Linked DNA regions of Drosophila melanogaster. The protein of the gene in region 1 purifies or fractionates together with the protein of each later gene. This does not show direct contact. Each region holds a gene or a part of one and is shown in the gene's direction. Other genes may lie near its edges.

Region 1 (15,598 bases):
ACGTACCATTTTACTTAGTCATCGATTATTGTTCATAATTCTATTTCGTGTTTTTTTTCTTCTTCTTTTTCTTCAACAACAAAATAAAAACAAAAAAACGATGTGATTTCTATGACAGTTTTGTGATTGTTAGCGTCTCGTTGGTTATCTTTGAGTATAATACACGAATTTTAAGCGTAAAATTATTGTTCTATCATCTAATAGGCTACTTGTTGATACTATTTTGTAAGTATACTGAATCACTTTCTGTGGATTCTGTATTGATATTGATCCTATTTTGCAGTTTCAATATGTGTAGAAATAGGTATATGTGTGATCTCGATGCGTGGCAGTATTCTGGATGCCGAGGCGCGCACCTCAATCAACATTTGGATATATCTCAAGAGCTGTAAGTTAGCACTAATAGAATAATCCTATATGTATGTAGTATACACATTCTTATCTTCATTGCAGTGGTTATCCTGTTCGATATTGCCTGGCTGGCGGTGGGATCCGTTTGGCTGGGGCATTACTACACCACTGCACCGATCGATGATCCCAAAAAGGTCTACATAGGTGAGTCAAATCGTAGATTTAGCTAGTGATTGTGCTGATTTATGCATTTTGAAGGCTTAAATAACAATAATTACCACTTTATCAACGTAGCTTAGAGTAATCATTATAAATCATCGGTATATAGTATCAATATTTTTATAGCTTGCAGGTGTTACTATGCGGTTTTATGCAAATACCGTGCCTTGTTTGGTTTTTCCCATTGATCCAGACTATCAAGTTAATTCAAGTTAATTTCCTCCTTCCTTCCTCACAGCAATTATCATCTGCAATTGGGCTCTGGTGGTGATCACCCTAATCACGATATGGTGCACCTTCGATGCTGCCGGAAGATCCTGGGTAAAGATGAAGAAGTACCAGCGATCAATGCGCGAAACAGAGTCTCGGTTTAACTACAAGCGGAGCAACAGTATGAACCGCAACTGGCGACAAAGGTGAGTCTGTCAATTTGCATCCAAATGATGGGAACGATCATTTAATAATTTAATAATTGTCTTCGCACAAACGCACAGGAAAGTGATGCGAGCCTACCAGGATAGTTGGGATCATCGCTGCCGCCTGCTATTCTGCTGCATGGGCTCCTCGGAGCGCAACCGAAACTCATTCACGGACATCGCCCGTCTGCTGAGCGACTTCTTTCGGGAGTTGGACGTGGTGCCGTCGGATGTGGTGGCCGGATTAGTTCTGCTTCGCAAGTTTCAGCGTCTCGAACGCGAGGCCATTGTGAGGCAGCGCAAAAATGGCACCTATGAGTTCCTCAGCGGCGTACCGATTACGGAGCGAACCCAGTTCCTAGCACTCAACGATGCCAAAAACTATGACTTCTTTCAAACGGTCATCCACTATATGTACTTTGCCCAGGGAGCCTACGGTTGGCCCATGTACGTCATCATCAATCGCAGCAAGATGTGGCATTTGGTGCCGGAACTGAAGTGAGTATGAAGCTTGTGGCATATAGCAAAAAAATTGTAAATATATCATTATTCTCAGATGCTTTGGCTGCTGTTGCGGTACAAGTGATGATACAGAGGTTATCCAGGACAATTGCTGCCTGTGCAACTATGCAGCGCTGAAGAAGACGCTCCAGCTGGGCGACATCGATATCGTTTACGCCACCTATCACGTGGATGTGGGCGAGACGCCCTTCTTTGTGGCCATCGACTATACACATCGGGCGGTTGTGATCAGCATACGTGGTACCCTTAGCATGAAGGACATACTTACGGATCTGAACGCCGAGGGCGAAGTTCTGCCGCTGCAGCCGCCGCGTGACGATTGGCTGGGCCACAAGGGAATGGTGCAAGCGGCGATCTACATACGCAACAAGCTGCAGGAGGAGAATCTCATCGAGAGGGCACTGCAACGGAATCCGGACCGTCAGACGCACACCTTTGATCTGGTGCTGGTGGGCCATTCGCTGGGCGCCGGAACAGCGGCCATACTCGCCATTCTCCTTAAGCCCGAGCATCCAACGCTCCAGTGCTTCAGTTACTCTCCGCCAGGAGGTCTGCTCAGGTGGGTTATGATTGAGCTTGCGTATTGGTTCAAATTGAAACGTATGCTTACATTTCAGTATGCCAGCCGTGGAGTACTCAAAGTCGTTCATCACCTCGGTGGTGCTGGGCAAGGATGTAGTGCCGCGCATCGGTCTCAATCAAATGGAGGCCCTGCGAGCGGACCTTATCAATGCCATTCAGCGCAGCGTGGATCCCAAGGTGATTAACAATTACAACATACTCTCTAATATATATTTAATACGTTTTATTTTTGTCATATTTTTATTTTAGTGGAAGACCATTTCCTGCTCGGTCATCTGCTGTGGCTGTGGACCCGAACCCACTTCCGTGGTCAACATGTCCGGCCAGGACACGCACATCAATCAGTACCAGGAGGTATTTAGGATCACATCTCATTCCATTTGTGCTGCGTACTAAAATGTATTTATCTGTATATTCCAGGAGCGTGGCACTGCCCGTTCGACCAGCGCTCATCCGACGGACAGCTCGATAGCTTTAACTCTGCACCAGCCCTTATATCCGCCCGGTCGCATCATTCACATAGTGCGACATCATCCCAAGCCCGACGAGTGAGTAGCCTGAGTCCGACGAGCTGGAAATAAGTGCCGCAGCTGGCCGCATCCGCATTTGTTTCCTTCTCGATCTCGCAACCCGACCTCCTGACCCACATACCTTGATTTATTTGTTGATGTTTTTTTGTTTGATTCGCGATACGAGATGCGCCTCTGGTCCAAGGTCTGTGCTAATTGATGTGCGATAGCCAACAATGCTTATCGACGAAGTGAGAGTGATGGAGTGAAATGTCAAGCTGATCCGCAACTGACTCATTCGCAATGACGTCAGAGTTGTGTTGTCGTCGCTTGGCAATGTCTTGTGTGTTAATCTATCGCCTTGCCCATCCGTGGAGATACAGCTGATGATCTCGTCATCGGGAACGGGCACTGAACTCTCTATTCAGTTCGCGCCCTTTGCTATTCGGTGGCTGACTCTAATATTCGCCTACGATTTGACATACCCACGTGACTTATGGCCGAAACGTGCTGCTTCAATTATTATGTTCACAAGTGGAGATTTGGGGATTTCGTTGGCCGTAACGCGGATTACTAACAGAATGTAGGGCCATATTGAATTTCCAAACGCAGACATGCTTTAATAAATATATTAGTTAAATGAGAAAGCCCATAACTCGCAGACAGGAAAAGTATTATAAAAGTATGATAGCGAAATTATAACGTTTTTCTTAGACTAAATAATCGAACAAGACTATAAGATATTTTACTTTAATATATCTTTCAATGCATTGAGATTTAGTACAAAAAAAAAAAACTCGGAAGATCTAGGTATTTATATATGCTGGGTGATAGTTAACGATGTTGTATGTACACATGTATGTATGTATGAATGGTACCCTGCTGTCGGCGGAGTTCTCGATCATCGACTACTTTCACTTGTTATCGTTTCAATTGGTTTGGTTCGGTTTTGTCTTGTTTCATTATGTTTTGTGTTGCTGAACGTGTTTGATCGATTTCTGTTTGCCCCACCCCATCCCGAAATCCAGTCAATGAGAATAGAAAATAATGTTACCAAAATGTTTTTCAGGCAAAAATACGACAGTGGTTGGAGGTAGGCACACACACAGACCCACCAGCCCATCAACACTCAAAACTACACCCACATCGAAACACATTTACACACGCACACACCTACAAAGCGCATCGCGCACAGATGCAAGATACAACCGAGCACACGCATCCAAAAGATTGAAAGATGAAGAGCTTGAGCAGCGCTGCCGTAACTCAACTCAATCTCTGTCTCTATCTATCTATCTCTCCTGCCTCTCTCTGTCTACATATGTCTATTCCACTCTGCCCGTGTTTATGCTCGCCCTCTGTCTCTCTCTCTCTCTCTCTCTCTCTCTTACGCACACGTTCTTTGTGTCTTAGCTTGTTTGGTTTGTGTGTTGACTAGTGAACGACTGAGAATTTTATAGATCTATTTATTCTGTTAGAACACTTTCTTCACATCCCATTTTGGTTAATCTTTGTTGCATGAGACAATACAATCACCGAAGCATGCATCGTCCCATTGCCTCAAATGAAGCTCTCTACACGAGCTGAACTCTCATCTCAAATAGATCAGTTTCGCTAAAGAAGGTTGAACAAAAAAAAAAGATCATGAGTTCAGATGAGAATTCTGCCTTTGTAAAGAGGTCCTTATATCCCTCTCTCGGTGTCGCTCTCTCTCGCTCTCGCATATGAGCTGGACTATTATCCTTAAATTTTTTGTGTTTGGATAGATAGATCGTGCATGATATTAGACCCGAAAGTTCATGAAGACAATTCTTCTAATGGCCGGAGTCATGGAAATTCTTTCATTAATGAACTCTATATATGTTATGAAAATATTTATTCCTGATAGATATGTAGCGTTGAGTTTTATTTCCCTATCATTCTCTAATAAATCAATTAGATATCCAATATCGATTACACAATTAATATTTATTAGACAAGTAGAGATTACGTGTTATTGAAACAAATCAAATTGAAAGAGTTTTCTGTGACAACTAAATTGGATATTTAGTTGGCCGGAATTTGTGTAATACCTTAGTTCGTAGATATTTAGTTAGTTTAAATAGCCCAAAAGTAAACTATTGCAATAAAGCTCTTGTGTATTTTGCAGAAATGTTCTGAAAAATCGGGAGCCCGTATATCAGGCAATCTGGGCCGATTCCACGGACTTCGATGAGGTGCTCATCTCGCCGGTGATGCTGCAGGATCACATGCCCGACAAGGTTCTCGCCGCCCTCAAGAAGGTAATTGCCGAGTTCGACGACGAGCGCGGCTTCTCGGTGCACAGCTATTCCACAGCCAGTTGATCAGATCCGGTCGAATGGACGGACGGACGGCAATGGAATCGATTTGAATATGGAATGACTGATCGTTGACACCCCTACACCCTCCCCCACGTCGTCTTCGTCGTTGTCCTAGAACCGTATATAGTTTAACTATAGCCCTATAGCATACATATCTAGAGTACGCAGCACCGATCTAGTTAGTTGATTCGTCTACTGTACTGTGCTGTTCTGTACTGTACTATACCGTGCCCTTAGTCTAGCCTTAAGGTCAGAGGTCACGAACGGTGAACCGCAATCCGCAGTTCGCCAAACTTATGACCACAAGCCACAAAGCAACCAAAACTCACAAACACAAGAGCCACGCGAACGCGATTACCACCCACACAGTCATGACAAGCATATTTACACCGATGATGCCTATTTATCTATATATGTAAACTCAATTATGTTAAACGTTATCTAGTCTAAGGCCAACTATCGCTTATAATTTCAATAATGCTAAATTGTTCGACATTGATTTGTTTATATTTATTTATTGCCCTTTTTGTTTTTGATATATAACAACAATTTGCTTTGATATGTTTGTCCAGAGAATGGAACCGATACTTAGCCAGCACTACACACGTATAACCAAAATCCAGTAACTCTATTGTATTTATCGCTGTGTTAGGCATTGACAATGGACTTTGAATGTTTACACATATGCCTAAGTTAAATTTATATTTATATACTTGTATTTTGTTTATGTGGCTTTGTCCATTTATTGTTTAAGTTGAACAGATGTAATTTGCATTTCGTTTTCAAAATCTCCGTGTTTAAATCACGCTCTCCAAATATCTCTTATATATTTTCACTTTAAAGCGTAAACTGTTTGTTTTTTATATGACGAATATACACACTTGTACTACGTACAAGTACATGAATATGATTAATTCTTTAATTTATTTCTTGCTTTTAAATACATTTGAAATCGGTAATGGTGAATATTTAAGTATTTGCACATCATGTTCTTGTAAGTTGCTTTGATTACTACACCAGAATGTCCAGTTAATCCCGGTCTTGTTGGATTGAAGATGTTTAAGAAATTGCTCCGCTAGATGGAAAACAGTATATTATTTGGTTTTTGAAAAGCCAATATATCCACACGATCGATTATGATTTTATTTAAGTTCTTTTTGCGAAGATTTGATTTGGTAAGTTTTTTAAGTTCAACTTTTATGCTTTGACTACAAATACACAACATAACCTATCATACTATATACCATACACAACTCCTTTAAAAATATCTGCTGCATGGGAATGGTTGTTGTAAAGCTTAAGGAATGGCAAAACAAATACATATAGTATGGTAGATGAAACGTATTGCCTATTTTGCGCTGAGCTGGGAGGAGACCCGATCCCGTATGTCTGCTAGTTGCAATGAGAGAGTAGTGGATCAGGCTATAGGATAATCCCTTGAGCGATTTTTCCACCCCGACCCCATCCTTGATGATCTGATTCAGATCACAGTTAGTATATGCGACGAACTTTTGTAAACCACTGATGTATTTAATTATGCTTTTGTTTTGCTTCTTTTATGGAACTTAACGATTATCGATAACTGATAAACGAATACCGATTTAACCGATTTGTATGTGACCCGATCATCCGATGATGTGCACAGGTCGTGTCTTGTAGAGATCGAACCGTAAAGGCATGTACCACTCGTAGACGTAATGATAACACGACAATAACTACAACTACAACAGTTACAACAACAACTACGACAACACAAAATACAGATACCAGGTACAGCCGCCCGCCTTCTATATAAATTTGTTATCATTAAACAAAAGACTAAACCAACTTTCCATTTTGCTCTCGTTAAAACCAAACAAAATTTTTAAATATGTCAACCGAATTACAAGTCTCTCTCTCTATCTCTCTCTATGTATATTTCTCTCTCCCGCTCTCAACCTAACCTCAAACAATAAAAAAAAAAACCAACAACCTATCCAATTTTGTAAACTAAACTCTCTAAATGTAATCGTACTCGCTGTGTATGTACAACGAAAACCAATATCGATATTGTGTCTCGCACCCGTAAGCTCCCACCCACCCTCAAACCACACCTCACCACAGCGAACTATCGAACCATTAGCAATTCTACCCACATCCTACTCGCTTAACTTTGACGTAACTGTACTTAGTCACTCCACTTCACTCGCTAACTGCATCTGCTACTGTCTCTTTCCACTCTCGCTCATCTGTGAAACTGTACATACATGCATCCCACTCTCGCTCGCAACATCTACTCGTCTCTTTCTGCATTTATATGTAACCACCAGTTGTGAAGATCAGGATTAATTGATTGCTTGATCTGTTTCGATTATAGATTAGAGAAAATAACTGCAGTCGAAAAAAAAGGGTATAAATGCCAACCAAGAAGAAAACAAAATATATATATATTACGAAATCAGACCTATCAATCAATCAATCGGTTTAACATTTCAGTAGGACCACAACATAGATCTAAGTTAAATGATCAAGTACAATCAAACACTGATCCCCACCACTCTCGCTACTCGCCTTTAGGTTGTAACAACGAGTGGGCCACGCAAGCCGCAGCGCCAGACCTCGAATGCATTCTCCACCGGATCGAACGAAGCAGCGCACGATATGGACCTTGAACCGCCGCATTGTAGCGGCCACAGTGCGCCGACGGATGCCATGAGATTCGAGACGCGAACCGATCCCGGCCAGATGCAGAACTCGATGTCGCAGTCGCAACACTGCAAGCGACTCTCGCAAAGTTCCTACACGAACCTGAGCAACTGCCTCGTCCTGACGCCGACCGCCCAGCACAAGCTTTGTTTGGAGACGTCATTCACCAACGGATCGACACCACACCAGTCCGGTGTACAGCCAAATCCGCGGCTCACGTCGGCGGCCTCGTCGCTCCTGAGCTCGGCAACCACGCCGTATGACATATCAAGTGCTCTGGACGACAGCCTGGCCACAGTGGCGCTGCGGCAAAGCCCCTCGCTGATTAGCGCTGAGACGACGGCTACAGTGATTGTTAATCCGGAACCGGATGCTGAGGAGATTGCCATACCACAACGGCTCAAGGCGGTGGCCTTCGATATGGCGCTCACTCCGCCGCCAACGCTGCCGGAGAGGTCCATGCTCGGTCGTCAACACTCCGAGAAAAAGCCACGTTCTCTGCCGCTGGCCCAAGTCCAGGCCCTTCGTAGAGCTTCGGATGCTGGTGCGGTACCTGGAGTGGATTTACTGCACGACGACTGGTATGGCCTGGCCCCACTGGCCAGTCCCGAAACGCTGTCCGAGATCTCGAGCGTCTCCTCGCGAACCAGCGTACCCATTAGCCTGGCCAACAGCATTGAGCGCTATCTGCAGCACATGGGCGTGGGCGTTGGCGGTCCGAAGGTGCCACTCGAGGACATCTTCGAGTCGCAGCTGCATACGCCCAAGGTTATGAGGCGGGCGCCCAAGTTCAGCGAGAATCTTGCTGGCTGTGCAGAGGACACCAGAAATCTGGATCAGTACAAACGGCTGGGTCGTGTGTTCATCACCTTTCCGCGCATCTTTCCGGATCAATCGCCAGCGGCGCATAGTCTGGACTCCAGCGACGATAGCTTTGAGTCTGCGTCGGCCCACAGCCTACAGAGATTGCAGCTGCCGCACGGTGCCAATGCGGTGCAGAGTTCCAAGTCCGCCGATCCGCTGGACGGGGATCCCGATGCGACGAGGCAAACGCAGCCCGCCAAGAAGTTGACATTCAGCGATAGCGATATCCTGACGGACGCGGACTGCCTGCGACTGTGTCCACACTGTCCCTGCGATCGGGATGTCCAGCGTGGCTGCTGTACTCGCTCGGAGCACGGGAAGTGCGGCACAGAGATTTCCGGGGGTTGTGGTGGTGCCGCCATGGGATTGGGCTCCACAGATACTAGTTTCTACAGTGCCAGCTCATCGCTGGAACAGTTTGCCACACCGGCTCGGCAGAACGGTGGCACTGGGGCGTCTGGCAACCACCTGGAGGAGATACTCATACGGCCCGGCGTGTTGGAATCGCATTTTCCCGTTCTTGGCGGTGGCAGCGCGATAGAGACACCGGCTTTGGTGGCCCCAGCCTCACCATCGCCGCTCAGCAATGGCAAACGACCGGATGTGGTTGGTGGCCGGGTGAGGAAACGGCTCTCGTCCGAGGAGTTCGTCTTCTCCCGGAGCGAGGATCTGCCTAGCCTAGTACAAATCGGTGATAGGTGTACCGGCTCTCCGGCGGGACGACGTCGGGCCAAGGGCTGCGTCTATCCGGCCGGGAATAGTCTCCGTTTGGACGCTGCTGCCGCTGTCGCCTCCGCTTCCGCATCGCCCACGTCCATTAGTAAATTTACCCGCACGCGCGTGGCCGCCGGAGGATTGGCAGCCAAACAGGCTGCCGGCAATAACGAAAGTAACGTTTAATAGTTGTAAGTTGCAAGCAGTACCTTCACCTGGACACACAGATGCGATTTCAGCCCAAAGTCGACAATTATGCCGTTGCCATTGCTTTCACACAAGCGATACATACACAAAACCAGTTGATTACAAATTAAAGGAACTCACAAGGAATCTAACATTTTGCATACCGATTACCTAAGGAACAACATTTAGCATTAACACACAAGCGTTTACTATTAACTAAATGCAATATGTATATTTATATACAGATATATAAATATATATTTTTTTGTGCAGCCAAGCCCCAAGCGACGAGAAATTTTAATAAAACGTTTTAAAAAATGAATACTCTGTAATGTCGTTGATTAGGAAAATGGCACAAAAAACTTCAAACTTTAAAGTGTAACGGTTTTTTGCTTAGTTGGAATATGGTATTTTGAAAGTGGTTGAGTTCACCGCACTGTTAACCGCTAACAGCTCACTGTGGCGCACAACAGTACACTATCGGCTGTTAACGGCTCTGTTTTGGTTTTTTGTCCAATTCCAAAGTTCGTTGCGTTCGCATTTGTTTACATCATTGCTCGATTCGGTGTTCTATAGCCAAAAACGATGTCCCTGATTGCCCAGGCGAGTCGCACAGTGCCGCAGCTACTGTTGCACTTGAACCGCCATCTGGTCACCTCCTGCTCAAGCGCCGCATCCGCCACGTCCTCGAAACCGCCGGATGTCGACCAGTCGATCACTGCCGACCAGCTCCTCGGACCGGAATCGCAGCGCAGGTGCATGGAGAAGATGCGCAGCCTGCCGGCATTCCCGCGTCCCAAGGCGCTCACGCCCAGTCGCCGGGAAAAGCAGACATCCGCGGTTCTTATCGCCCTCTGCCAGGAGCGCGGCACGTCAGTATAGCCAGTTAAACTAGGAATGCGACCATTTGAATAAGCTGCATCGCTTTGCTCTTTCAGGAATGAAATATCCCTACTATACACCCGACGATCGCGACACCTGCGCAGCCACAGCTTTCAGATCTCCTTTCCGGGCGGAAGGCGCGATGATCACGACTCGAGCTACGTGGACTGTGCGCTGCGCGAAACAGAGGAGGAGATCGGCCTACCGCGCCATCGCATCCAGGTGTGGGGCGAGGCCAAGCAGCTACAGCTGCCGAGGACCTCGTCGATTGTGCCAGTGGTGGGCGTGGTGCCGGACTTTAGCCTCTCCGAGCTGCGTCTCAACTGGGAGGAGGTGGAGGAGGCGTTTAGTGTGCCGCTCACTTCGCTAATGCTGCCCAAGGCCACCAGGCACACACAGTTTCGTAGCGGCTACAGCGGTCCAGTATTTGTTGTAGACCATTATCGCATCTGGGGCATCACCGGCTATCTGACGCACCTCTTCCTGCACTGCCTGCTGCCACCCAATTTGCTGCCCGATTGCCTCAAGACGAACATCAAGTTCATTCGGCCCTTTAAGCTACCGCCCAAGCTGCCGCATCATCGCGAGCACTCCGCCGGGGATCCCTCGATGCGCACCTGACGAGACATCCGCGATCCGCCGACCGTAATCCTACTCAGGCTAGCAACAATCTGGTACTGTGATTGGGCCAAATGTGCTTCGCTCGAACCGAACAATTGGCCAATTCTGATGGTGTTCTTTGTTTTAGTGTACGCGTTAATTGTTAATTCTCGGAGAGATTTATAATAAAACTGTTGACCATTATGTTGAAATCGAAGAGGAGCTCTTTATTCGAGCTAAGACGATGCCATTTAATGATTTATATCTTTGATAAGGCTTATCATGAAATGAACATGTTAAGTAAAAGGCAATAATTGTCTTTTTGTGTTTTTTTTTTATTTGTAATTTTCACTTAAATACAAAAAATACTCTTCATTTCCTCCTCTAATTTTCTTTTTTTTTTTTTTTGTTTTGTTTTTCTTGTTATGATAAAATAAAATATTTAAATAAAAATTAAAAGCGAACAAAATGGAAAACTTTCGCCAGGGAGCAAAAAAAAATTCAAAATCATAATTTTGCAATAGAAAAAAAAGATTTGTCTTCGAATACAACAAAAAAGCTCCTTGCAGAATAAAAAATTATAAATTAAAATAAACATTTTAAAGGAACGGGAAGCGCTCCTTCAGGCGATCGATACATTTTAATTGACAGCGAGCTACGTAATTATATTCATGCGTTTGCCTGTGGACATCTGTATGTCAAACACAAATGTTTTAATATTAATTAAGCAAACAAACATGCAGGCGGGCCAAGTAAGTCAAAGCCTTCTCGATAGATTGTGGCTGGTGTTTCTTTTTTTTTTTTTCCAAATGGGGTTTAAATTAAGCATAGCTGAAGAAAGGCAACGCGGCTGCTTAAAGAACACTTGTTGTTATGCTTGTTATATATAGTAGGTTTATATATATATTTATATATAATATATGCATGGGTAGTTATATCCGTTAAGTATACATCTATGTATAGTCCTCAGAGTTGCTGCTGTTGTAAAATTGTCCAAAATATTGTGGTTGCGATTGCTGTATACTATTAGTTGATGTGTGGTGTGGCTGCATGGATCTGCTCCATAGGAAACCTACTCCGAAATATCAATTGGAATGTATGTGGTAAACGTGGGCGTCTCCAGCTCCTCGTGCTTCTTCATTTTGAGACTCTGCAAGCGGCAAATGGAGATTCTAGAGATTGGAGCCCAGTAAAATTGGCACAATGGCAAGTTACGCACCTGTTGCAGCTTGTAGTGATTGATAATGTCCTGGTCGGCCGGGCACGATTGTGTGAAGGCGTCCAGCTGGTACATGTGATACATGTAGCGCCACAGGGCCGTCAAGTGCGTCTGCAAGGAGTCGGATAGTGAGAACGTTGAGTCATTGATACCTGGTCGGGTTGGCTTATTCATTCGATTCTGTAGCTGATGGCTATAATTGGACTTCGAGCGGCAATAACGAAAATGATTTAAAGCCCATTCACAATCAAAGTTATACAATGTATTAGCCTTAGATTGCTATTAAATCTATATTGCAATACAACTTATCACATTCATTCTTGCGCTATTAATCATTTAGGCAAAAAGTCACAAAGCCACTAAGTCAATATTTGCCCACTGCTTTCTATTCGCAAATAAAGTCTTTATCAGCAAAAGTTTTCCTGACTAATCCATTGGCAAATACGATAATGCAGTTACTCCTGCTGTGGCTGTGATACCCTGGAACACCCCCACTGCTTACCGGGATTTCAAAGTCGACAAAGTACTTGCCCGCCACACGGATGTGCTGCAGGCGCGGCATCAGCTCACAGTCGAAGCAGCACATGGTGTCGCCGGTGAGGAAGCGCGTGTTGCGCGCGGACAGATGATCGTTGATCTTGCGCAGATGCGAGAGCAGGGCGTTGTTCTTGGCCTCGTCCTTCTTTACCAGCATCAGCTTCAACTTGACATACAGGTTCTCGATCAGGGTGGCCACCTCCTTGTCCTGGACAAACAGATTGTAGCCGCCCGGTATGTTCTTCATGATGTGCCGCTCGATCTTTTCGTTCTCCAAAATGGCCAGCCCATTGTCAATGAGGATGGGCGGGTGTGTGGCCTCAAAATTGGTACGGAAATCGGGCGGCGGCTTCTGCATATCCACCGTCGTCACCTTCAGGCTGATCGTCTTCAGTTCGGCCAGTAGATATAGGTCCATGAAGTACTCCTGGCAGAACAAACAGGCGCCCTTCCGCCTGCCGTCGATGGTCGAGGCCTGCAAATCGAAGCGGAAAATGTTAACCAATTTAGTGTCTCGGGGATTCGGGGAAAGCAAGCGTTTTTTTTTAATCAAAAAGTGAGAGGGGTGCGAAAATGTTTACTTGGCCATTTCGATAAGTTGGCTTTGCGGCGATACCATCAAGTGTTAATGTGGGTCACATTCCGGGGACTGGGCATTTTTCCAGCGATTGGACATTGCCTCCAGTCCACTTAATGGACACATAATGGCACATCGCGTGCCGGCAATTACTGATAAACGCAAATCAAACAGAAATTTAACAAAATAAGACAACATAGTTTTCCATTATGATCATGTGACATCATCATCATCATCATCATCATCATAATCATCATAACCATAAACGTTCTGCGTTGTTCAACAGCCCAGCGTGGCGTGATGAGCCATCGAGGTTTGTTTGCTCGCCATTTTTTTTTTTTTTTTTTTTTTTGGGGGACCGGAAGCGATCCAAAGGCAAGACAAGCGACGTCGAGTGGACGACGACGATACTAGCCAAGCCCGACGAGAATTCTGCATCGCTGCACTGCCAAGGCCAGTGGAGGATAGGCAGATACATTTGTAGCTACACAGATGGGAAGATAAATAGTGAGACGGCAAGGCAATGCCAGCGCCACAGGCTACAGTGAGCACTGACTAAGTTGAGTCAAGTCTCTGCATTTGCATTCCAGCAATATCAGCCGCCGATATCACAAGTATTTACAGATTAAGCATATTTAGCACACCCTGACTATTTACGTGATTATTTAAAGCTGCCAGTGGTTTTAAACAAAACAAAAGGCGGAAATACTTTAATCTTTTTATGCGATTGTGGATATGATGAAGAAGTTTAGTAAATTTAAATGGAATTTATATGAGCATGATTTGTACATATATTAATTTGAATTTCGCACTGCAACCTGGCGGTTCTACTTAGCCAATATCCACTGTAGATCGATGGCATTGCTGCAGCTGAGAAGCAGCTAAAGCCTAACAACACATCACACAAATGATGACGATGATGTCATCAGGCGTGCGGTGTGTGAAGTTTACTTGTTGATTGCCGTTGCCAGCCTTTTTTGTATTTGCTGCCCATATTTAACCCCCTCCCCCCCCCCCCCGCAAAACCATTTCTGCTGGCGTCGACAGCCGGCTTAACTTCAAATAAGCTCCAACGCCAGGCGGCAATCAATGTGCGTTTATATGGCACTGTGCATATTTGTATTCGTTAGATAAGCCAGCCTGCACTGCTGTTTTCACACATTTTGCCACTACAGCACAGAAACTGAAGAGAGTTAGCAAATCTACTGGCTGCTCAAGAACGAGGTTGTCGTGGAGCTGGGGCATTCTCCAAACTCCACAGCGAATCCATGAATTTAGCTAAATTGTTTGTGACTACACGGATACGTATGTATCTATAAGTATATGGTTATATCTATTTTTATACAACCACATCGTTATGGGGTTATGAGTTAAATATGGTTACGGTTCAACACTTGCCAAATACACATTTGAAATAAGTGATAAATATGATAACGAGGCGTACGCAATAATTAACCACAGTTAACTTCGGTTTGTAAATTCAATTTAACGCACCAATTGCAGGCAATTAAAATATTATTTCGAATGCGAAGTTAATTAGCATTGCCCTGTGTGTTAATGGCTTAATAACGAAACCCAGCCAAACCAAACCAAAAAAAAACCCAACCCATTTTCCAGCCCACATGGTCGCAGCATAATCAAACTATGAAAGGCAACAACAACAACAAAAAATAAACTACAATGATTGTGGGAGCGGTATTCGTATAATTTTGTATCTTTTTTCATTCCGCCGCGGTGCTTAAACGGTTCATTTGTATTCTTTCGCACATTATTAACTGTGCACGTTCGTTTACCTGGTCTACGCACATCCATCCATAGCCCATAGCTCCAAGCTCCATAAATTCCCAACTGACCCGGATTACTTTCAGTCCGTCGCACATATTCGTTCCGCTCGTATTTGTATCATATTTTCTTGGCCCGCATTTTGTTGACTCGATTTTTTAAGGCCGCACTAATTGTTGGCAATACATTCTACAGCTAAGCGCAATCGGTTTTCGTTGGCGAATACAAGTACGAAATTTTTACATAAAACTATTGCTTTTGCCATTAATTGCTAATAATATCGCATTACAATATTTTTGCCATCTCTAGCGAGCATTGTAGTTTGCAATATGAGTTGCACAAATTGAAAATGGGAATTGCAAAATGCAAGACTAAGACGTGTGGCAACGTCGAAAGGTCAGTCGAAGTCAGTCAGTCAGGCAATCATCTTGAGCTACAGACACATATACAGATACAAAGTATATGGCAAAACTATGGATACAGATACATTTACAGATAGAGATACAGACACATAGACGGCGGTTGCAATTGACTTTTTCAAAATAGAAATGACGAGAGCAGGCAGACCAAAAAGCAGTTAGCAAATGTCAAGTGCCATTCACGTACATATG
Region 2 (16,822 bases), on another chromosome or scaffold:
ACCTATGATCTGTCGGAGTTTCCCTCCTTCGTCGCCGATCAGCGGACGCACGCCTACCGGCCCATTGTAATTAAGGACGGTCTTATGCGTGCCCGATCGGTTCTCTTCTTGGAAAACAGCATGCGCGTGCGCGGAGGTTCCGCCCAGCTGCGAAGTCTGCAGAGCATCGTTATGAATCCAGGAGTGGGAAAATCTGCAGTCAAGTCCGCTGGAGTGCTCGGATGGAACACAGCGACGGCGGTATCCTCTCTGACGCATCCAAAAATGTTCGACTACTTTGAGTCGAAAGCTGAGGAGTTTAACTTTCTTCGGATGGTCGACCTGGATGCTGTCTTCTTCTCGGACAGCTCCTTGGTGGCCGAGAAGATCATGCTTCCCTGGCTGAAGTGCTGCCTCACCCTCGAGTGCATCGATCCGATCGGTGAGTCGGGTGGGATGGGTGGTGGTGGTGGTGGTGGCGTCATAGGGATATGTAAAACTGTCATTAGAAATGTTCCTCAGTCACTGCCTGACGCCAATATAAATCAATCAAACGTACGTTCAAACCTCCAACCCCCAAGCTCTCCTTCGGGGCTAGGCTCGTGTACTAATAACTGTCATTTGCACGGCATTCCGTTGATGGCACTCACATCGGGGAAATTTATGTAATTACCACCTGAATTGGGATTGATGGCAAAAGTGACATTGCCTTTCTTAACGAACAATTCATTTTTATTCGACCGGCATTTCCCAAACTAAGTAGTCAACAATACTCACTTTTTGGCTGGTTATTACATATAATGCTTACCAAGCATAGGTGAATTTTTAATAGAAATAAGCTTTCATTTCCTTGAATTCATCTGAAATGAACTCTGTGTTCACTTCCTGGCACTCCTGGCGAATTAAACACAGAGCTCATTTTTAATTGATGAATCCAAAGAAAGAAAATGCTTCTTTTCCAATTTCATTCATTTTCTCGCGCATGTTATATGCAGTCAAATGCTCATTTCTGTATCTTCATTGATTGACTAGATTCAGATACTTTATAGTCGACAAATTTTCGGTTAAGGATCAAAGGTATTTGGAAATATTCCATTCGTTCGTTGCTCGGCTTCAAAAAGTGTTTGATAACAGCGTGATATCATTTTTGTCACATCGAGTGCCTTGTAAGCCTTTAATAATTCTCGTGTGTAGTTTTCAAATCGAAGGGGGGATGTAAGGTTCTCAAGGGTTTCGGAAATGATTTTGGGGTAACGAGAATACAAATTTACATCTTTGTGACTTCTGTGTTTCGCTTCGCAATCGCTTTGATTGGGCTTAGTTATGGAGATTAATTCCCTTTTTTCTGAAACAGGTGCTTTTAACTTTCTTTTCTTGAGATTTTCCATATAGTATTGTCGTTGATTCAAAAAATTTCTTTTCATTGTCATTTCCATTAGCAAAGGTGATACTTTTTCAGTCCTATACTTTTGCAACGAACAGCAAATTTCACACTCGCATTCAGTCTGTGTACCTGCGTCAGTTTTGGGAACGAAAAGTCGTTTAGATCGTTTCTTTCTTCGACGATTGGGTGGTTGGGGTTTCTCTTCGGCCAAGGGAACATACTTTCCTTGATAGTCATCGTAAGTCAAAAAGTCCATGGGTGAATCTCTGTCGTCTAAAATAAACAGTTCTGCATTCGCCCTGGACTGATTTATTCTTTTGATCGACGCAAATGTTCTATTTAATTTTTCAGAAATCTCATAGCCCAACGGCGAAACAGATTCCTCAAAGTACTCAAAATTGTCGCTATTTCCGTGTTTTAAGGTCTCTAATCGATTTAGTTGCTCCAAAAGTTCTAACTTTGAGCCAACTTTTTTGTCACTCAGCCTGTCAACGTTAAGAAAGATGTTAGTAGCAGTTTGTCTAGTGAAATTCCTCAGATTCGTGTCCATGGTACGGAAGGCTTTGCGGTTAGAAATAATTTCTGCCTCCCTTGGTGTGTGTGATTTGGAATCATGGATAGTATCTTGATTTGAAACTCCCTTCTTGAGATTCTTGAAGCCATAGTCGTGGATTTTAAGTCCTTTGCCTAGCTTAAAATCAAATCCTTTGTTCCCAGATGATTTGGTCATCTTAAATTCGTTGGTTCTGATTCTCTTTGCTGGTGTCTTCGATGATTCAGCAGGATATGTTGAATCGTGTTGCGCTTCTCTAGCTGGAACCGTGTACTTTGAAAGATCTCCAAAAGAGGTTTCGAAATTAAGGGCGCTTCCGGAAAACTTCTTTAAAATCGTTCGGTTCATTTTCTCCATCATCCTTTTGGGAGTCTTTATGCCTTTAAACTCGTCCAGCTCCTGCATAACTGAAACAACTTCTTTCAGTTTATTTTCCACTTCATTTTTCTTTCGTTTTTGATGTTGTAATGATAATTTGGAGAGTTTAGATTTGTTAACGATGCTCCTCCTATACGTTTTCTTAGGCTTGAGATTAAGTTGACTTCCTTTCTTAAATTCTGTGCTTTTGATTCTATTTGCTATTGTCTTCGATGGTTCAGCGGGGTATTTTGTATTGCGTTGTATTTCTCTTGTTGAAACTTTGTACTTTGATAGATTTTCATTCTTAAATTCGGTGCTTTTGATTCTCTTTACTAGTGTCTTCAATGGTTCAGTAGGGTATGTTGTATCGCGTTGTATTTCTCTTGTTGAAACTTTGTACTTTGAGAGATTTTCATGCGCGGCTGGGAAGTGAAGGGCGCTTCGGGATAAGCTCTTTATAGTTCGATGCATTTTCTCCGTCATCTTTTTGGGAGTCTTTATACCCTTAAACTCGCCCAGCTCCTGCATAACTGAAACAACTTCTTTCAGTTTATTATCTACTTTATTTTCCCTCCGTTTTTGATCTTTTAAGGGAAATTTGAAGAGTTTAGATTTGTTAACGATGCTCCTTTTACACGTTTTTTTTGGCTGGAGATTATTAAGCAGACTTCTTTTCTTCAGTTTTTTGGTTCGCTTTTGGGTAAAGACAAACCTGCTAATTAGTCCATGAAGAAGGCCCACGACAGGTGCTCTTGAGCTTAAATGCGTTGCTGTAGGTACAGGACGACTCATTGGGGGTTTAATCTTGTATTTTTCGATTTTAATTGGGTCAATTAATTGTTTTCCGCTCGCTCTAGGGACAATTTCTTTTGATTTTGAATTTTTCAACTCACGCTCCTTAGGAGTATACATCTGTGTCAGTTGGCTTATGTGAATCTTGAAGCTCTTCCACTTCGGAGTATTCGAATCTCGTAAATTCCTGCCCTTTTTAGGAGAAACCAAAGGTGTGGCAAGATGTTTCAATTTTGCATTCACAAGTTTTGGGGGTACTTTATAGTATTCTGACCCAGCGTTTATCCTGGCCCTGCTAAAATATTTGCGAGCATGCCTCAACAACATTTTCTGCTTGGCTCCAAGCGTTGGACTAAGCGTTGATTTTGATAGGCTTTGAAAAAGTACTGGCATGTTTTGAGATAGAATGGCTTTATTGAAGAATTTTGACAGCTAGTACTTAACCGAAAAAATAAATAATTTTCAAGCCAACTAAGTTGCCATCAGCATACCTCGGTCCTAAAGCATTCACGGAACATGCGAACGGCCTCGACAATTTTGCTGAAGAAAAGCATCTTCATCAGTCGCCACATTCCCTTTGGCAGATCGCAGTGTATGTTGCATGCTGCATAGACGAACTCCTCTGGTCCAATGTTGTAGCCATGTCGGCCGCACAGCATGTAGTGTGTATCGTAGATTATGTACCACGCCTCCACGGTGCAGGCCATTGCGGAGAAGACCTCCATCATCCGGTTCAGTCGGTAGGCCAGGAGGAGGAACAGCCCAAAGATGAGGCTGATTATGGAAATTCCGCGAATCTGGGTAAACCGAAAACGCTTCTGGGAGGAATACAGCATTAGACCCAAGATTTCAATAATGAGAATGACTGGATAAATATATACCTGCAATACAAAACATAAGTAATCAACAGTATATATATTAACAGTAGTATATACATGCAATCAAGAAGTCATATCACTTTAATACAGATAGCAAAGTTATTCTATCTCCGTACATGACTCAAGTTTATTCACTTAAACCAAATGTGTTGTGATGTCCTAATGGAGTAACTCTGACTTACCCAATGTGTCTCCACCAAATTAAGTAGATATACGCTCCTATTGAAGGATCCAATCAATGTGCTCAGCAGCAGTACAAAGTAGTTGAAAGGCCCATGTCTCCTCCAATCTCTCCAAACGTAGAAACACGTATACAGAAAAACAGTGAATACCATTGATAATGGCATAACAAAGTTGTATGGCAAAGGATATTTGAGAAACAACTCAATGCAGGGCAAGGTGCAGGCCATCTGTAGCTGCAATGTTGAGTTTACCACATTACTTTTTTAATTGAAAATGGAAGCTGTATAACCTACGATTAATATGCCGTAGAATCGGCGCACTAGGCGCCGTCGGATTCCAACATCGGCTATGTCGAATTCATAGGTCCTTTGCAAATGACCGTTGGGCAAAAGGAGGTCACATTGCACAGCGATGCCCGGGACTTCCGATTTTTCCACTACCAATACCGCGTCCATTTCATCATCATACTGAGCTGACACTACCGCCGCCTAATGTCCATTTATATTATTCTATTTGATAAGGCCAGTTTTCCAGTTAATCGTTTATCTAATTTACTCCATTTTCATTTCTGTTTCCATAAACACCCCATACAATCACAAAGAAAAAATGTTAAAATAATTCGATTATATACACATATTGATTAGCCATTATTAACAGTAATCTTTTTTTATGAATTGTGCGCTCTGTAGAAAAAGGGCTCAAATAAATGCTCATGGAAATGGTTGCTTTAAATTGATATACTATATAACTCATATATTTAAGAATTTCGGAAGCTATGAAGGAATTTGCTACTAGCTTATCTCCGCCTCCCTTGAATTTTTTCAACAGTGTTAAGGGTACCCAAAAGTCGGTGCACTCGACCTTACATTTCCCTGTTGATTAAATATAGAAAACTTGATGTGTAGCATAGGAAAAATCGGGGGCTAGATTCGCTTCCAATCTTATATATTTTGTGTATCCTAGCGGAGCAAAGTAAAACGTATAATAATATTTTCTTTATATTACTAGGTGCCCAATCGAATGGCTGCAAGTTCAACAAGAAGCCGATGTTCCGATACTCTGGCTGCCACGGCTACGATGCGTCCGCCTTCAACATCGTGCTGGGCCTAACTTTCCAAATGGACACCTCTGAATACTCGCTGCCCGGCGACAGTCCGCGTAACATATTCTACAAGGAAAGCCTGGAGCAGGCGACCCGTATACTGGAGAGCAGGCGGCGCAACAGCAGCGAAACCTCCGACCATCCTTTCACGGACGACTGAGCTGGGAAACCTAAAAATCGAACTGGACGAGAGCGTGGCCAAAGCATTTGATATAACTTTTTCTACCGACAACCACACAAGCGGATACACTCAGGCGGTGACGGAGCCAACTGAGATTACTAGGAATATCGAAGGAAATGAGAGTTATTGATGTGAATTAGATAAAGGGTAACCGATTCCCACTTGAACAGATATAGACAGATGACTTGGCGTCCAAGAAAAGATCAGAAATGAACAGACACAGCACAGTAATTAAGCGTAGCGTAATTATGTGCAGCTTATCAATACTTATTACAATTTAGTGCAGCCCTAATTACTTATTTAATGAAATATACATACATGAAAATCTGTGTTAATGTCCCCGTGTTTTTGCTGCGAGAGTCGATATGTGTAAAAGCCCCTGTTTAGTTAACTATCCCAAATGTAAATACATAAAAACATCAAATGGCATACATTTTGTGATTGTATTTTATAGTTACTCACGCGTAGACAAACATATACAGTATATAAATATAAATATAAATGTAATTTAACTATCCTAGAACAAGACGAGCCAAAAAGTAAGTTAATAAAATTCTGAATTACGAATACCAAGTAACATTCTTTTTCTGGCTTCGCCAATTCTAAATATCAGGGAAATCTTTGGTTTGTTAACGGCACTTTTTGACATTTTTTTGTAAAGCTGATTGTGGTTATATCTGCAAAAGCTTGAGAAGAAGAACAGCATACATTGTTTTCAAGAGCTGTGACTAGGATTAGCTCTACTAATAAAATTTTTCCAAAATTCGAAGGATGTAAATGAATATGCGAACCACATCGACGTACAGAGTGAGAGCCGCGAATACATATTCCTCGGGATCCAACTGTTCCGAACGATTGCCGCCCACTATCGACTGCATATCGGCGATTAAAAAAAAACAGCCAATAAAGGTGCATAGGCAAGTTATTGGCAGGCTGTCTACGAAATCGGGCATCCAAACACCACACACTGATAGAACTATGAGTATTATCACAAAGGTCAATATGACCCCTCCAGCAGCTGTGTAATCGTATTTGGTTTGCACGGCGTAGATGGAAAGTGCGATGACTAGAAGTGTGGTAATGGCCACGGCCGAGATTACCACATTGGAATCCATTTGGCTGGATGCGGTCCCCAGGAGCAGCGACATGGTGAAGGTATAAAGAGCGAGGCAAATCAGGTTAACAGGATGCCTTCGTCGCACGTTCTCCACACAAACGATTGTGCTCAAAACGATAATGTTAACGATCATGGCGACAAGAACTAGAAGGAAGTTCTCATGCATGAAGTCCTTGGTGGGTTGGTGGTAAGAAAATATTGCTATCACAGCCAACGTGAACAGTAATTGGGCCTGCAAGAATCACATACATATAAAATGTTCCACTGAATCGGTCTATCTCACCAAAAGGATTCCAAAAACCTTGCGGACGAATCCCATGCGTATAGTGGGATCCTCGAATACATTACTTTTAACAATCAAATCATGGGAAATCATCCCATTTTCGACCAAGTGTTCGCCATCTTTTGGATCGGAATTCGTGTCCTGGGACTCGTTTTCCGTAGGAGGGGCTGACAAAGAAATCGGTGGGTAACGGTCAGAGTTTTCAGGTAATGGGACAAAATTAAACCACGCTGCAAAAAATTCATTTCAATAAAAATAAAAAAGGTTAAACTTTAATATTAGGAATCGTGACAAGTTAATAAGTTAAGCCTTATAATAACATTTCTGCAGTGTGTTGATGGAATGATGTTTTAAATACAATAAAGGAGACCAAACTAAAGGAAATGGGTCTTACAAAATCGACTTAATTAAATCAAATTTTGAATTGCTTGGAATGTCATAAAATATCTAGCAACAAAAAAATGCAACCTTGCAAAAGAGTTATATATGTAATACAATTTTAAGGAGTGTGAGCTAGGTTTAACATATAGCCAAAGAGTATGCTACATTCAAGGACCTAGACCATCTTTTATACGTCACTGCAACTCGAATTTCCAATATGACAGCAGCAAAGCAAGTATATAAGTGGCTCCACCTAGCGACTAGTTCTTTCTATTATAACTTCTTAGTGAATGGTCCGAATAGACAAATTGTTGGAGAAAAATTTAATTTATATCTTAGGTCAATAGAAAGTTAAAGATTAAAATTTTTTTTTATAATATATAATACAATCTGAATCAATGGACATGCTGATTGTTTTGCTTGCTATTCATACGTAAATCTTCTTTAGTGAACAACAAACATTCGTTTATTATTTAAGCAAGCAACTAATCAAGCATAAAGCTCTTAAAACAATTTAAAAAGTTTACATATATATTTTTAATCCAATAAATAATACATTGAATGTAGATGAATTTCTCCAATGAGTCCCAACTGGGATATCATGTTTACATACATACATATATGAGTTATCGTTCAACTCAGACCGCTTATGTTCTAACACATACAGACGCCGAAATAAATGGTTTACAAGTCTAGATATATATTTAATCCTCGTATAAACTTTTTGATTTTTTGTATATCTAAGAAAAGGTTTCTGTATAAGCTCTTCTACACAAAAAAAACACATTATTTTCATTAATTCTATTTTTAACTTCAAGATCTTACCGTACAGTGAAGCCTTATCGAGGAATCCTGTTTCTTTTTTAGGTGAATCCATGTCTGCCGCGTCTGGTCTTTTTCCAAGGGCGACTGGCAATCTTAAGAGCCCAATTAGGGAACTAATAAGAAAAATAAGTAGTGTATGTATCCGTATTTCGAACTGAAGAAAAGCCGGAGGAATGGAAACTGAGATGCCGGTTTTATTTCGGGGCAGCGGTGCCAGAGTTTTCGCGATTGCCGCGAAATAGCGGCTGATTTTCGCATGTGGTGACTTAAGCAACTGCTTTCATGCCTACATATGTATGTAGGTCCAATATGTGTTCATATATCCACCATCGTTTGGTCAATATCACTTCAGTTCACAAAAGCCACCGGCACACGAAGTCGGACTTAAACGGGTTCCGTCAGCTAAAAGTAAAAGTTAATTGCCCGCGTGTGAGTGCAATTGTGCGATAATGAGCGTAACTGCGCTATTGCTCAAGGCTTTGTTTGTGCTCGGGCTGACCGTACTTTCGGGACCAGGAAGAGTGGCTGCCTACGATCCCAATGATCCTAAGATAGCCGAGTGCTGCCTGCCACCGGAGGGGATGTTCGAGGCCTTTTATCCCCGTGAGGTGGAGGGAATCCCCAATAGCGCATCGCGACCCGCACACGGACATGGCAGCTTCTTCAAGCACCGGAACCCAGCGCTAGTGGACACCAAGAACGCGGCGGCCTATGGCTATAGGTTCGACGGCAAGAGGCGTTTCAACTTCGATTAGTTCCGCTTTTAAAATCTGTATTATTCGCAAATAAAGCCCCTTTTTGAAAACGAAAATATAACGATCTATTTTCTCAACGGTAAATCGAACTGCAGTGAGCTGGCAACCCTGCCAGGCATGCAGCCCTAATATTCCGTGTGATTGACACTTATGTCTAGAGCACAAGAAGAAGAAATCAACATTTTTTTCTTCGAAATTCATTCGTTTAAAAGCGTAAAAAAATGTGTTTCTGAATCAAATTCAAATATAATTCACATAATTCTGTAAATACCGTTATAATACCCAAATCACCAACACATGATGAACGGGCGCAGCATCGGCATGCTGAAAAAGCTCAGGCACACCTGGCGCACGTAAGAATCTCGCGGAGTGGTGAAAAGTGGGCTGTTGTGGAGCCGGCGAATCTAATAAGTGCCCTATCTCCAAACACAATGCAGGTTTCCACGCCTTATGGCCACCAAGGTGACCAGTCTGGGTGGCGACGAGGTGGGCAGTGGCACAGGAATCGGACAGATCACCGGCGGCGTGCGTACAAGTGATGGGCCACAGAAAGTGAACACGCCTTCCAAGGAGATTGTCACCCACCTGCCACCTCTCACCGAGCCACTGCCCAACCTGCCGGAGGCCGTTTACGCAGCTCCACTGGCGGAAAGCGCCATTACGAAGGTAACGACGCTGCCGAACGGTCTGCGGATTGCCTCGGAACCGCGGTACGGACAGTTCTGCACTGTGGGCCTGGTTATCGACTCCGGGCCGCGCTACGAAGTCGCTTACCCCAGCGGCGTGTCGCACTTTCTCGAAAAGCTAGCTTTTAATGTGAGCCAAGTTGCGCTTATGTAATGTAGGATCTCGGCTAATCCGTCTACTCATTCCAAAGTCCACAGTCAACTTTCCCAACAAGGACGCCATACTTAAGGAGCTGGAGAAGAACGGAGGCATTTGCGACTGTCAGAGCTCGCGGGACACGCTCATTTATGCCGCCAGCATCGACAGCCGGGCTATTGATTCCGTGACGCGTCTGCTGGCGGACGTCACTTTGCGGCCCACACTTAGCGACCAGGAGGTGAGTCTGGCCAGGCGGGCCGTCAACTTTGAGCTGGAGACACTGGGCATGCGGCCTGAGCAGGAGCCAATACTGATGGACATGATCCACGCGGCAGCATTCAGGGACAATACCTTGGGCCTGCCCAAGCTATGTCCCCTTGAGAACCTGGACCACATAAACCGCAATGTGCTAATGAACTACCTTAAGTACCATCACTCTCCCAAGCGCATGGTCATCGCTGGTGTAGGCGTAAGTGTAAAAAATCTCTTTTGTACTCGGATTTCAGTTAAAGAATATCTTTTCAGGTGGATCATGATGAGCTGGTTAGCCATGTGCAAAGATACTTTGTGGAGGACAAAGCCATCTGGGAAACGGAAGCCCTGGAGGACTCGGGACCTAAGCAAGTAGATACGTCTATTGCACAATACACTGGCGGATTAGTAAAGGTGGGTGCAATAATACTTTGATTAACTTCTTAATAAACATGAACTGCCCATAGGAACAATGCGAAATCCCAATCTATGCGGCCGCTGGGCTACCAGAGCTGGCCCATGTAATTCTCGGATTTGAAGGCTGTTCCCACCAGGACAAGGACTTCGTTCCCCTGTGCGTCCTGAATATCATGATGGGCGGTGGTGGATCCTTCTCCGCAGGCGGTCCTGGCAAGGGCATGTACTCGCGCCTGTATACCAAGGTGCTAAACCGCTACCACTGGATGTACAGCGCCACGGCCTACAATCATGCTTACGGCGATTGTGGTCTCTTCTGTGTTCACGGTAGCGCACCGCCACAGCACATGAACGACATGGTCGAGGTCCTGACCCGCGAGATGATGGGCATGGCCGCAGAGCCAGGCCGTGAAGAGCTAATGCGCTCGAAGATCCAGCTTCAGTCCATGTTACTAATGAACCTGGAGTCGAGACCCGTTGTGTTCGAGGACGTGGGCCGCCAAGTGCTGGTGACGGGGCAGCGAAAACGACCGCAGCATTTTATCAAGGAAATTGGTAAAAGCATCTTAATTAATCAATTAATGCTATCATTTAACTCGTTAATTCATATTACAGAAAGTGTAACTGCCGCCGATATCCAACGCGTTGCTCAACGTCTCCTGAGCTCGCCGCCTTCTGTGGCCGCCCGCGGCGACATCCACAATCTTCCCGAGATGAGCCACATCACCAACGCGGTCAGTGGTTCAGGACGTACCGGGCTGGGACGTAGGCTTTCCTTGTTCAAATAGCGCTGGGTGTGAGACCGCCTCCATTGGATATCATTTCGCTTTGTTTACAATATTGTGCGAAGGGCAACCGTGTTAAGTTTAAATTGGCTAAAAACCAAAATTCCCAAAATTCGACTCGGTTATTTTATTTGTTGCTTTAATGGTATTTTTAATTAGGCGACAATTAGAGACAGGCAAATTTTTGTCCTCTAACATCTTACTTAGAAAGTAAGATGTCCTGATAGCAAAGGGGAGAATTGCATCTACTAAATGAGCGATTCATTAAGATAACCCATTACATTTTTACACCGCTCCCACGATTGTCTTACTCAATTTGGGCCTCCTATAGCTATAGCATACGCAAAGCTGTTCATCCCAGCGAAGATTTTGAAGACACCGAGGAACATTTCTTTAATCGGCGCTTGCACTTCGGAGAAGAGGTTGAGCCATCGCTATCACTGCTGCTGCTGCTGCTACTACTGCCACTTCTGTTACTTCTTAAGGGCACTAGAAACGAAAAGGATACCTATAGATACCTATTAATCACAGCACACCGTATCTATTAACTTACTTGTTGGACTCTTGGGAGCAGTGCTTTCGAAGTCTTCGTCTTCCGGCAACTCATCGCTGGAAATGTTCTCGTGCATGCGATATTGCTTAGGAAGATGGCTCTCATCCTGAAGCGGTGTCGCATATTTGGGCCGCTTGATTTTTTCTTCTTGATGCTGGCGATCACTGTCGTTGTCCAATTCGTTGCCCGTTTGTTTCTTTATGCTCTTGGCGATCACGCGCTTTTGGTGATCCAGTTGGGGAAACAGGTCCCTTGAATTCTCCAGCGCCTGCTTAGCGGCGTTCATCTCCGCCTGCTGAATGGAGGAGCCACTTGAAGTGGCCAGCCGCTTTGAGCGGAAATAAACGGCCACCTTGTATACCCGCGTATTAGTTGGACCACTGGCCTCCACCACCTTGTAGTAGGGAATGTCCGGCTCGCCGCCATCCATTGTGCGAAGTGTGAGGCAGCACTGCTGCAGCTTCGACTTGGGATCGTTCCAGTCCTGATTCATGATAAACAACTGAAGTCGCGGGAACAAACATACATGGCAAAACTGTTCACAATACAGGAGACCCTTGTCCACGTACAGGGCGCCGAGGAATGCCTCCAGCAGATCGGCACGATCTTTGGTCTTCAAATCAGCCTTGGGATTGGCATACACGGCATATTTCGGCATTCCCAAATCATCGCAAACCACCGCTTGAGTGCGATTATTGACCAATGAGGATCGTAGCAGGGACAAGTGGCCCTCGTGGTGCTCAGGGAAGTGACGATATAGGTACTCCGAGCAAATCAGCTGCAGCACTGTGTCGCCCAAGAACTCTAAACGCTGATTTGACCCAAGGGTCAAGTGGGTGAAACCAATGGAGCGATCGGTAAAAGCGCGAGCCAAAAGCCGAATGTGCTTAAACTTGATTCCAATAGAGTCCTCGAATTTGGTTAACTCCTTAAGCACACGGTAGGAATCAATACAGCTGCGATCCCCAAGTGGCTCCTGTTCCTGCAACGGGTGCTCCGGCAGATTCTTCCATATACTCAGCAGTTTCTCGTCCTGCCGGAAGAGTGCATCCGTGAACACCTCATCTGCCACCTTGATTCCACCATCCAATAGAAGCGCGCCCATTAGGGCTTCAAAACAGTTGGCCATGGCGTGACGCAGTTCCAACTCGTGGCACAGATCGGATCCGTGTGCGTACAGCATAAACTCTTCCAGTTGCAGCTTTTTGGCCAACAGAGCCAAGTGCTGGTTTTGGACAATTGCCGCTCGGTAAGTGGCCAAACCACCCTCCTCCAGTTCAGGGAACATAAAAAACAGATGGATTGAGCTGAGGAATTCTACTACAGCATCACCGAGGAACTCTAGTCTCTCATTGTGGGTTATGTTCGAAACAGTCTCATGCTCCTTGCCAAATCTGGACATAATGCTCACTAATGTGTTGATACCCCGCTTGCGTGTGTTCATGTAATGGATCTTGCGATCTCCGTACTCCGGCTGACGAATTCCGCAGTTAGTCAGCGAATTACGGGCGTGATCCGGATTGGTACCGTAGTTCTCCTTGTATGAGGGATGCGTCAGCGCCAATTGGAGAAGGTACCGATTTTTAAAGCGGTACCCGATACTCTCCTCTAGCAGGTCCAGCGACTTGTGAAAGCGAAGGTGACCAGTTAGGACAGGAATCAACATGGCATGCTGCACAACGTCGCACATAATGCCGGTGCGATAGAAGCCCTCCGAGCTGATCGCCACTGTGATATTTCGTTTCATGCGCCCCTGAGTTCGCATCTCCTGAAGACGTTGCTCCTTCTCCTCTAGCTTGCGCTTATCCTTGAAAGAGGGCTTCGACATGTTGGCCATCAGATGACGGTACTTAACGTACTCTCGCCACGCCTTCTGGTACTCTGGATTTCCAGCGTAGCTTAGCTGAGGATGACAAATGCCAAAGTGCACGATTGCTGGATGTGAGATTCCAGTCTCGCGATCTACGCACTCGGGCAAATCGGAGTTATTCCTGTCCAATTGGTCAACGCGTAGCGAACACGGCTTATAACCCGGCTTGGTGACCAGCATTCCCTTTATGAAGTCCACGTAGTTTTGCCACTCGCTCTGACTAATCTGGTTAAGATGCAGTAGTTGCTGCCGTTCCACAAGCTGTGCAGAATTATCCAGCAAGTAGCGGAGTACCTCGACCATGGCCAAAACCTCCTTTCCATTATCTGGCAGGTCGCGGACGAAACGCGGAAAGAAGTGAAAAGCTGGGCAGGATTCCTCGACGTTTCCGGACGGTAAGTTGGGCATTAGATTAAAGTCTACCAGCTCTAGCAGTTCATGAAACAGGTATTTGACTGAAATTGAGATAAGATGTAAGTAATGCCTATAAAGAAAAATCTCAATTTTACTTACAAAAAATGTCTAGCTCGTGGATGGTGAAGTTCTCTGGCATCTTCTCCTCTTCGTACTCAATGGTGTACTCGATGTTGAAGCGGATCACCTTGCAGACGGGCAGATCGGAGAGACGCACATGCGAGAGAAGTGAGAAGCCCTCGAATAGAAACTCGTGCTCATCATGCTTGATAATGGTGGGTGTCTTTGTCAGGAAGTTAGTGGGCGGTGAGATGCTGATCCTGTAGTGGAACAGCTTGCCTGCATTGTTGCTGTTTGGATCGCACAACTTATAGCCAGTCTCGCCCGGATATATGCCGTGTCGAATGCCAATGCGCCGGGACTTGGCTGAGCAGCGGCAAAGAGGTCCGTCGTTCATCTCACCGGCGTCGTTGTGCCAGAGATCCGCGTGCACACGCTGCGGATGTTGCACCTTGCGCGAAAGCTCCTCCATGCAGCAGTCTTGCTCGATCTTAAAAGCGTCTTCGTCGGAGTCGTCATCGGATGAGGAGGACGAGGAGCAGGCTTCCGACTTGTGTTTATGCTTGCAAACACGGCGGCGAGCCTTTCTTGGAGGCGGCACGTAAACGGGTAGCTTCTCGCGTACACGCTTTGCTCTCTGCAGGAGCTCCTCATCGAATAGAGTGCACAGCTTTTGCAGACGCGCCCGACCTCTGACTTCGTTTTCGCTCTTGGTGCGCTCGTAGTAGAGCTCCGCTGGCGATGATCGCACCCAGGATTCGACTGGCGCATCCGCCTCGCTGAGGGCGTTCATCTTCTTCACATAGTCCTCTGGTTTTTCGCAGAAGTTAGAACACCACTGTCTCAACAGACGGTCCCTTTCGGTCTCCACCTTCGGTTTGGCCCTAGTCTTCTCTAAGGTCTCATTTCTCTCCCTTTCGTGATGGCCACGTGGCGAATAGTCATCGCTGACTTGGTTTCTGGCTGCAGATCCATAGTATCCGTGTTGCGACCCCTTTGCCTGCCTGTGGGCATAGTGTCCGTGTCGTGGCTCGTGGGCATATCGACTGTCCTGAATTTGACGGTGTTCCTGATCATGTCTTTGTTCATACCGCCTACCCGAGCTATAGCCGGGATAATGGTGGTAGCCTTGACTGGAGCTGTTGGAAGTGTACCTCTGCCTTTCGGATGGAGGTCGGTAGTTGGACGAATAAGCAGGATAGCGGTCTGGGTATTTATAGCTTTCATAGAGGAATGATGATCCGGATGCCGGGTACTGGTATTGGTAATGGGACTCCTGGCCACCATACTTCTGTGCTTGTTCGTTGTAAGCATATCCCTCGTAGCCGTACGCTGGTGGTTGCTGGTACGGATCATAGCTAGGTACTGAGCTGGCATAAGGAGCCGGTGTCTCCGGGTAGACGTAATCCAAAGACTTCGAGCTCTGAGAATGGGATTCATTTGAAGAATAGTTGTGAGAGGGAACACCTACTCCCGGTGGAGATAGATCTTCTTCTGGCGGAGGTGGCGGGGGCGGAGGAGCAGGCTGGACTGGAGGCGGTGGCAAAGGCGGCTGGTACATGGCGAAAAGTTTTGGGAAAATCTTTGGCAAAATCCACAATTATACTTTTTTCCACCCACACCTTTTACCGCGATTCGAATGATCTGGCAACTCGACCGGTTTGTTTACATTCGCACATCCGGCAAGGCCGTGCCACATATGTTTCGATAGACAACGTAAGAAAATTATGTTACTTCCGCGGTATTTTTGCTGGAACCTCCAACGCTGCACGATGGCGTTTTACGCTGTAGCCAGTGGGCGGCGGTCTGGAGTCTACGGCTCTTGGGCAGAGTGCGAGGAGCAGGTCAAGGGTTTCAAGAACGCCAAATACAAGAAGTTTAAGACACGCCAGGAAGCGGATCAGTTCGTTAATGGCTGCAAGTCGTATGCTCCGCAGGATGTGGCCGTGCCGCTGGGCAAGGAAAAGGCGTCACTGGCCAGTTGGAAAAACAGTATCGAAGTGAATAAGAACCCCAAGTACACAGATGAGTGGCCCGAAGAGGATCACGACCTAGCCGAGGATGATCTGGTAGGCATGAATATACATACGTTTGCAAAGTCCTGACCTTTCATCCTTTCAGAATGCTGCCATGAACGAGGTTGAGGGAGATCCAAAGCCATCTAACAGTAGCAATTTAGTATGAGACCGTAGTACATACTGTAGAAAAAGTTAAACATAGCTTCTTTCAGCCAGACATTCTCAATCGCAAGCGGAAGGGCACAACCAGCGGCGATAAGCGGAACAAGATCCCACGTCATGCCTCTCAGGTCTCAGAAGCCACAGGACTCAAGCAAGTGGGTGCCTTCCAGTTTGAAATCGATGCAGAGGGCTATGTCATTGTGTACACAGATGGCTCCTGCATAGGCAACGGACGAGCCGGAGCCTGTGCCGGCTATGGCGTTTATTTCGGCAAGAATCACCAGCTGTAAGTGGTAACTGCAGCACAATAACTTTGCTTTTAACCTATATGTTCTTTGCAGAAACGCAGCCAAGCCCGTGGAAGGACGCGTTACAAATAATGTAGGTGAAATACAAGCGGCCATTCATGCCATTAAAACAGCTCTTGACTTGGGAATACAGAAGCTGTGCATCAGCACAGACTCTCAGTTTTTGATCAACTCCATAACGCTGTGGGTTGCGGGTTGGAAAAAAAGGGATTGGAAGCTAAAGAACAATCAGCCTGTTAAAAACGTTGTTGACTTCAAGGAACTGGATAAACTGCTTCAGGAGAACAACATCACCGTGAAATGGGTGCGTAACTAAATTTAAATAAGGTCCTGGAAAATACTTGACTTCAGTTAATATCCCCAGAACTATGTGGAGGCCCACAAG

What was found.
Region 2: the proteins of CG11095 (region 1) and CG8728 purify together in Drosophila melanogaster (affinity purification with mass spectrometry, with the first as the bait; one large-scale study listed by BioGRID). This does not show direct contact.

Annotation. Positions count from the first base shown.
Region 1 is NC_004354.4:13,801,784-13,817,381, forward strand, and holds CG11095 (uncharacterized protein), read left to right. Parts: upstream 1-9,900; 5' UTR 9,901-9,975; coding exon 9,976-10,262; intron 10,263-10,328; coding exon 10,329-10,893; 3' UTR 10,894-11,087; downstream 11,088-15,598. Other genes in the region: inaE (inactivation no afterpotential E), read left to right, coding at 119-225, 284-388, 454-555, 809-986, 1,065-1,484, 1,543-2,067, 2,126-2,267, 2,340-2,444 and 4 more; Clic (chloride intracellular channel), read right to left, coding at 11,945-12,022, 12,092-12,202, 12,594-13,103.
Region 2 is NT_033778.4:7,931,204-7,948,025, reverse strand, and holds CG8728 (uncharacterized protein), read left to right. Parts: upstream 1-8,911; 5' UTR 8,912-9,070; coding exon 9,071-9,126; intron 9,127-9,210; coding exon 9,211-9,589; intron 9,590-9,650; coding exon 9,651-10,067; intron 10,068-10,123; coding exon 10,124-10,264; intron 10,265-10,317; coding exon 10,318-10,822; intron 10,823-10,882; coding exon 10,883-11,055; 3' UTR 11,056-11,160; downstream 11,161-16,822. Other genes in the region: CG34431 (uncharacterized protein), read right to left, coding at 1,044-3,188; CG34430 (uncharacterized protein), read right to left, coding at 3,551-3,949, 4,129-4,362, 4,423-4,584; CG14764 (uncharacterized protein), read left to right, coding at 1-421, 5,138-5,391; CG30379 (uncharacterized protein), read right to left, coding at 6,156-6,761, 6,813-7,042, 8,019-8,070; CG30380 (uncharacterized protein), read left to right, coding at 8,468-8,773; drosha, read right to left, coding at 11,405-11,541, 11,606-13,930, 13,989-15,510; rnh1 (ribonuclease H1), read left to right, coding at 15,677-16,018, 16,071-16,127, 16,180-16,415, 16,471-16,741, 16,802-16,822.